Lonchura striata: one gene and its partner. The protein of the gene in region 1 interacts with the protein of each later gene in a biochemical or structural test. Links are inferred from orthologs where the notes say so. Each region holds a gene or a part of one and is shown in the gene's direction. Other genes may lie near its edges.

What was found.
Region 2: the proteins of NFYA (region 1) and ZHX1 form a complex in vitro, tested with the Homo sapiens proteins (2 studies listed by BioGRID). The link is inferred for Lonchura striata from reciprocal best matches to the Homo sapiens genes NFYA and ZHX1.

What each region holds. Positions count from the first base shown.
Region 1 is NC_134632.1:3,937,831-3,941,735, reverse strand, and holds the start of NFYA (nuclear transcription factor Y subunit alpha), read left to right. Parts: upstream 1-913; 5' UTR 914-1,023; intron 1,024-3,479; 5' UTR 3,480-3,492; coding exon 3,493-3,567; intron 3,568-3,905. Other genes in the region: ADP-ribose glycohydrolase OARD1, read right to left, coding at 47-114, 404-479. UniProt on the Homo sapiens protein: Component of the sequence-specific heterotrimeric transcription factor (NF-Y) which specifically recognizes a 5'-CCAAT-3' box motif found in the promoters of its target genes.
Region 2 is NC_134603.1:12,595,851-12,599,755, forward strand, and holds the start of ZHX1 (zinc fingers and homeoboxes protein 1), read left to right. Parts: upstream 1-1,178; 5' UTR 1,179-1,288; intron 1,289-1,637; exon of another isoform or gene 1,638-2,172; intron 2,173-3,905. UniProt on the Homo sapiens protein: Acts as a transcriptional repressor. Increases DNMT3B-mediated repressive transcriptional activity when DNMT3B is tethered to DNA. May link molecule between DNMT3B and other co-repressor proteins.

The sequences.
Region 1 (3,905 bases):
CTTTGAACAGACAATAATAATCCCATGTAACCCATTTCCTACGCACTCTCTCCTCCTGATCCTTGGAGAAGTGGGTGGCCATGGTAACGTGGGGTATGGAGAAGACTCCTGCGGCTGGAAAGATGAGAGAAAAACAATTATTAGGAACCTCAAGCTAGGCAGTAAGAGTGTGTTAGAGGGGGCAAGGCTGAGCCTAACTGATCTTTGACAGCGGGACAACCATGACACCCCTGAACATCCCCAGTCCTGCTGCGCCTACAGGTCCGGCCCGGGAGGAGGCCGCGGCCGCGGGTCACCGCAGCATGAGCACCCCCAGGCTGCCGCCCTCCTCCTCATCACCATTACCACCCTCCTCCTCCTCCTCCTTCCCCTCCCATCCCTCAGGGCCACTCGGCCGCCGCACCCGCGGGGCGCACAGCGATCAACCGGGCCGGGCCCACGGCCTGCGCCACGCCGAGCCTGCCCAGCGCCGCCCACATCGCTCCGGCCGAGCCGCAGGGGCGGCTCCGCCCCACGGCCGCGCCGCCTCCGCCGGCACGGCGGCTCCGCCTCGGGGCGGCATTGGCGGTACCGCCTCAGCCTCGGCGGCTCCGCCTCGCGGGCGAAATGGCGGATGCCCACACGGCGGTATCGCCTCACAGAACACGGCGGTAATGCCGCACACAACATGGCGGCCATGCCCCACACGACACGGCGGCCCCGCCCCACACAACATGGCGGCCGCTCCGCGCGCGCGGGTGGGCGGAACCCCCTCCATGGTCCCGGCCCAGAACATTCCGCACAGGGGGCGGGGCTTAGGGGCGGGACCCGCCCCGCGCATGCTCCCCGCGGCCCCCACGCAGGCGCAGCAGCGCCGGGCAGGGCGAGGCGCGCGGTTGGGTGGCCCCGCCCCCGCCCCCCTCTCCCCCTTTGTCCGCGGTTGGGCGCCATTTTGCGCGGCGGGCGAGTGCGGGCGCTGATTGGACTTGGGGGCCGCGCGGCGGAGCCAATCAGCGCGGGGCGCGGACCGGGCAGCGCGGCACGGTGAGCGCGAGCGGCCAATATGGAGCCCCCGCGCGCCGGGATTGGCGGGGCCGCGGCCACTCAGGGGCTGAGGGGGGAACCGGGGCCGGGCCGGGCCGAGCGGGGCCGCGGCCACTCAGGGGCTGAGGGGGGAACCGGGGCCGGGCCGGGCCGAGCGGGGCCGCGGCCACTCAGGGGCTGAGGGGGGAACCGGGGCCGGGCCGGGCCGAGCGGGGCTGCGGCCACTCAGGGGCTGAGGGGGGAACCGGGGCCGGGCCGGGCCGAGCGGGGCCGCGGCCACTCAGGGGCTGAGGGGGGAACCGGGGCCGAGCGGGGCCGAGCGGGGCTGCGGCCACTCAGGGGCTGAGGGGAGAACCGGGGCCGAGCGGGGCCGAGCGGGGCTGCGGCCACTCAGGGGCTGAGGGGGGAACCGGGGCCGAGCCGGGCCGAGCGGGGTCGCGGCCGCTCGGGGGCTGAGGGGGGAACCGGGGCCGGGAACACCGTGGCTGGCGGGGGCGCGGGGCCGAGCGCCGCAGCGGGGCCGGGCCGGTTCCCCCGGCGGGGCTCCGCCCTCCCCGGGAGCCTCCCCGCCGGTCCGGGCTACCCCGTCCGGTCCCAGATGTGTGGCGGCACGCGGTGCTCCGGTGGCAGGGCCGGCCCTTGGGGGAGCCGCGGGTTCGAGCACACCGGGATGACCCCCGGCTCACCGCTGGCTCCCACCGGCAGCTCCGCGTGTGGTGCCCAGCCCGCCCCCGTGTTAAATCCCGCTCCGGGGCTGTGGGCGTGCGGCTCTGCCCGGTCCGCAGCTCTGGACACGCTCCGAGTGATGCCGCGGAGCTCTCGGGCTGTTGGCGGCACTGGTTTGGTCTTGGTGTGGGTTGGGTGTTGAGGAAGTTGTTCCTGGTGCAGCTATATTTGTATAAATATAAATTATGTGTGTTATATATGTATATGTATAAATATTTGTGTGTATTTTTGGAGTTATCCTGTGCCGGGCCAGGAGTTTGATGATCCTAATAAGTCCTATACAACTCAGCAAATATATATCTATATATCTATCTATATATCTCTTTCTATATATTATATATATCCCTAAATATATATATATATATTTATTTTTATATATATATGGTGTCTATATAAATATCCACTGCTGGGACTGGAACACTCCCTGATTCCCAGAGCATTCCCAGTGAGGAGGAGCTGCCCATGAGCTCACTGAGGGAAGAGCTGTCATCCTCTGCCATTGATTCATCCCTGATCTTTAATATTTAATTTGGCTACTCCGTGTTTAACGAAGGGGATGAGATAATCCCTTGGATGGTGAGGATCCAGCACTGGCAGAACCTTGTCCATATCTTTAGGTTGCTGCTGCAGAGTGTTGGGATTACAGAGTTGTTAAATATTTTACTTAAAAATTTTAATTTAAGGCAGAAATGAAGTACCCACTGTGAAATTGAAATGAGAATCTAGCAGCAGCGTTTTCAGAAAGAGTATTTATCTTCTTTTATTCTGGCTGTGAAAAAGTCTCAGGAAATGGGCAAAGGATGGAACTCAAACAGCAGCAGTAACCACAGCAACGGGTACAGAGAGTCTGTGACTTAATCCTGCCAGCATTCCTTGAAAAATTGAAGCAGCCAGAGGTTTTGTTGCTTTAGACTTGGAAAATTAAAGTTCCAGGCTGTGTTTTCTTTCAGCAGTGCAGCAGGAACTTGTTCAGTCATGGCATAAATCAAACACCTCACTAAAGCAGGAATTCTGCTGTTGTAGGGCCAGTGAGGAGAGAAGTAGTGGCAGGAAAAGTTGTTTTTATTTCAGCACAGTGGGGTTGATGTGTCCAGGGAAAGGGCCAAGGAGTGAGAGGATGGAGGTGCTGGGAAATCTGCTGGTGCTTCCCAAAATACATGAAGGTTGTATTTGAGTATAGAAATACTTCTTTAGAGAAGAAATTCCTCCCTGTGAGGATGGGGAGGCCCTGGGTTAGGAACTGTGGCTGCCCCTGGATCCCTGGAAGTGTCCAAGGCCAGGTTAGATCAACCTGGGGGTGGCACTGGATGATCCTTAATGACCATTCCATGAGAGTAGGAGGAGAGGGAAGAAAAATGAGGAGAGAAGTCTTCACAGCTCTGCTGAATTCTTGAAGTGCAGTTCAATTTCACACCTAAATGTTGCATTTCCTGAGGTTTTCCAGCAGTGACACTCCCCTGTGTGGGCACCTGGCTGCAGCCCAGGATGTGCAGACTCACAGAGCTGGTAGAGTCCACGAAATTGGGCCAGAATTGAGCTGGTTTTGCTGCTCACTCAGCTTGGATGGGCCTGAAATGCCACCTCTGTTTATCACTGAGATGGAGCAGCTCTGGGAGAGCCCTGCCCTGGGGCAGCTCCTGCTTGGCTTGGCTTGGCTTGGAGCTGCTGGGGGACAGTGGGGATGGCCAGGCCTGGGGGCAGCAGCTCCCCTGATTTTTGCTGTCTTGCAGGGCCTGAGGCACCATGGAGCAGTACACAGCCAACAGCAGCAGCTCCACGGAGCAGATCGTGGTGCAGGCGGGGCAGATCCAGCAGCAGGTATGGCATGGGGGAATGGGGGAGCCCTGTGCACCCCACAGTGGGGATAAACCCCAAAGATTTCCTGTAATTCCAAGGAAGTGAGGGTTCTGAGGTCTTCCCTGAGGAGAGGTGGTGCCAGAGCCTGAGCTTGGACAGTGGGACCTTCTCAGCTGGGATTGAAAAGGGACAAGATTGGCACTGAGGGATCCAATTTTTTCTTCACCTGTGAACAAAAGCACAGGGAAACCCAGGAGCCATGTGGATCCAAACAGCAACACATCCCAGTTTGGAAAGAATTGGTTTCAGCAGCACAATCCTGATCCTTCTGGCTACCTGTTGATTTCTGTTACCTGGGC
Region 2 (3,905 bases), on another chromosome or scaffold:
TTAAAATAAGAACTGCATGTGATCAGCTTCTTCTCCACTTAGTGTATGGAGTACACAGCAAAGGAGGTCAGGAGAAAGGAAAAAAAAATTACATTTTAATGCACTTTATGACATTGGAAATGTAATAACTGAACTAATGTCCTTAACTTGGTCTCCTCCTTGTCTGCTCTCACCAATTTCAATGTGACTTGGGGCAGGCAGCTTGAGTGCATCCCCTAAGAGCACTATTCTGAAAACTGACAATATGGAATTGAAGAACCAGAAACATTCCTGAGATCAAAACTTCTGTTTTGAGCAAATGTATTCCTGTCACTAGGCTCGACAGGATCCTGTACCTAGGCAGATTTTTAAAAAGCTTCCCAACTGTGTAAATTTTATCTTCTGTGTCCACCTGTGAACAGTTAAGTTTTCCTCACAAGTCACATCTTTCTTTTTACTTTATTGGGGAAAGCGTCACATTTTGTCTGACCCAAAATAGCACAAAATGACAAGAAAAATAGTGTAGGGAAACAACATTTTTGAGAACTGGGCAGTGAGAGTTAAACCCAACTTTGATTAAAATATTTTTGTATGTAGTAAAAGGAGAGAGTCTCCTTTCTCCAAGCTCTCTAACAAAAAAACCCAACAACCCAAGGTGTGAGAAAGGTTTTTTTCGTTAGAGCCGCTACTTCTGTCTTCACTCGCCCTGGCTTGAGTCTCGGGACCCTGCGGCCGTGCCCTCCCACGGCGGCAGCTCCGGGCGGGAGCGGCAGGAAAACCCTTCCCGGGCTGGGGGCGATGCCGTCCCTACAGCCCGTCCCGGGCGCGGCAGGAGCGCCGACCGCGGAGCCCAAGTTTGCCAGCGGAGGAGCGGCTGCCGCCCGGGAGCTCGCACCCCGCCGGCCCCGCTCCTCCCCGGGCCGCCGAGGAAGCGCCGGTGTCCCCGGGCTGCGGCGCTGCGGTGCCGGGGCAGCCCCGCGCCCGGTGTCCGCCGCCTGCCGGGCGGGGCGGCGGGAGCGGCTCCGCCCCCGCTCGCTGCCAGGGCGGCTGAGGCAGCGGCCGCGCCGACCGCGCTCGCCGCGCTCCCGCCCCGGGACAGCGCCGCGCCGGGAGGATGCGAGTGAGCGCCGCGGGGCGAGGCGAGGGCGCGGGCGGCCGCGGCGTTGGGAGCTCCCGGCCCATCCGCCGCCCCCCCGCCCCGAAAGAAGTGCAGTAGTTTGTGAAGCGCAAGATGGCGGCGCGGCCGTGAGCGCAGGCGGCGGGCGGGCGGCGGCGCGGGCTGAGGGGGCGAGGCGGACGGCGCCGGCAGGTAGGGACTCGCTGAGGGGGCTCTCGGCGCCGGGAGGGTGACCCCGCCGCCCGCGGCGGCCCGCCCTGCGCCCGCCCCCGCTGCCCCCGGGAGCGGGCCGGGCGCTCCTCCGGCGGGGACGGGACGGCGCTGCTGCCCCGGGGCGGGGGCGGCTCCGGCCGGCGGAGGCGGGCGGGCCGGGCCCGCGGGGACGGCGCCCGCGGGGTGGGCGCGGTGGGGCGGCCGCGCCCGCCCGCCTCCCCATTGTCTGGCGGCGGCGCTGCCCCCGCGGCCGGGGGTCATCGCCCGCCGGGGGCGGCGGCAGAGCCGTGGCATCCCTTGGAAGTGGGCTGTGCGTGCCCTCCGACCCGGCCCGCAGTGGGGTCAGACCCCTCTGAGGACGAGCTCCTCTCCCCTTTTCCTTCCTCCACCCCGTGCCGGGAGCCTGCACGGGGCTTTGCTCGCCTCGGGGCGGAGGAAAATCCGTCTGACTCGTCAGTCAGAACGGAGAATCGAGAAGTTCAATCCCGGCGCGCCCAGAGGAGCCGGCGAGTTCCTGCCCGCTGTCACCGCTGGCGTTCCGGAGCGCGGACGGACTGACAGACTGACGGTAGGCAGCGAGCCATGAAGTTCTGGCTCCGGAGTTATCTTGCATCCCGTGGCGTTGCGGTGCGGGGGCGAGCATGAAGCAGCAGTACAGTGTATGTGCAGGCAAAGTTGGGGAAGACGTCTGGTGTGCTCCTCTGGGGGTGCCTGGGTTTTCGGGTGCGTTCTGATGCTCAGCTCTCCCCTGTATCAGGATGTGCAGCACTGGAAACCAACATCAACTTCAGTAAACCATGTAATGGAGGCAGTTCTGGATTTCTGAAAGGGCTCAGAGTGTCTGCAGTAGTGAATGTTATCTGGTAGGTACTTGCACTTTATTTCTGAGCTGCTTGGTAGGTTAGATAGTTAATGGAAAGATGGGGAAGTTTACTGTGTAGAATGTCATGTAAAATAGTGAAGGCTGAGATGCCTTGATCTGCAAGCTGACATAGCTGCCGCTTACTCTTAAAATAAGACTTGCATAGAGAATATATTGAGCATTTCAAAGTGCATATAAGCATTGTGTAAATAAAAAGTGGATTTTGTTATGAAGCTTGGTACATGAAAACAAATATTCCCTCAAACATAGCAGTGAGAGGGGAATTTTAAAAGCTGTGCTGTTGGTTTTCACCAGTGGTCTGTTTTTTGTTTTTCTTCAGAAGGATTTCATGCCAAAAAAAAGAAAGCTTGTGAGTACTTAGAGAAACCCTGTTTAAAACAACCTGTGTGATGTAGACTAGAGGACTGCCCTAAATTAAGACCTCTTGGAGCAAAAATGCATAATTTAGAAACCCTTTTGTTACTTTCTTTAAACATTGCCAGCGAGGCAGTCAATTCCACTGGTGGTGTTAAATGAATTCCCCTGAGCGGATTAGAAGTAGATGCCATTTTGTTTAACTGAAATTATTTGCTTTTAAATTTAGGCTAGTGGTTCTTGTATCTTGGCTAGACTGAAAAGCCCTCTGCTATGGTATTTGGGTAATGTTTACTATGAATGTCCCCAAAGTTAGTACTTTGAGGTAGAGGTTTTCTTTGTGAGCCTTACTTTTCTACTTTCTTAATGTTTCTTATGGCTCTGTTCTGGATTATTTCGTCTCTTGCAACACATTCTTGATGTGAGTGCTTTAGCTGGATCCAGTGTCCCGATATCTAGCCTTAACTGCTGTTGTTTATTACAGGAATAGACAATATTTATCACAAAGTTTATCATGATGCTTACCGTTGGGGACTTAGAGCTATGTGTTGAACAGTGCTCCTTTTTTTAGATTCTCCACACTGAAGAATTTCGGTCAAATAATGGACTTTGTAATACTGCTAGGATTCCTTTTGTTCCTAATGTACCCAGAAGGCTGTTTCTTGTGTCTTTTGCTTCACTGGGCCGTCTGTAGCATTTCAGTTAAGCTTATTGCTATGGCTGAGATTTTCCCCTGGGTTTCCCACGATTTGTTTATATGTAGTCTGAGGGAAAGGTTTAATTTTTGGGTTAACTTTCTCATCTAGTTGTGATTGGTGACCCGTTTGTTTATGTGTAACTTCAGAAGAGTCTTACTTGAAAAACAGTCGTTCATCTTTGAAGTCACATTCTTTGCTTAAGTCTGAGTTCAGGATTTTTTGCAGTTTAATGAAGCTGGAATTTTTAAAGAACCAAGTACACATTACCTGTGGGGTTTTTTTTTTTGTTCGTGAATAATAAATACAACCAAGGCACAATCACTTGCAGCTAAGCTATGGCTAACTTTTATTTTGGTGAGCAGCTTCTCTTTATCTACCAAGCTGAAGTGTAGTAAAGATTTCATTGTACAAATTCAGTATTGTTATGTTTTCTAATTTTTATAAATCCTGAGCTTGCTGTAAAATTTTCAGAATGATCAGTTAAAATCCTGTGTGATAACAGTCATGGCATGAGGGTGTGTTTTGAAAATTTTTAGCTGAGTGCATGGACATGCTGTTCTCTTCTGTATGTAAATGGTCAATATTCCCTCTCCTTGTGCTTTAGATGCAGGGTCATTGATCCATAAATGTCCAAGATGGTTTGCTTCTGAGTTGTCAGGGA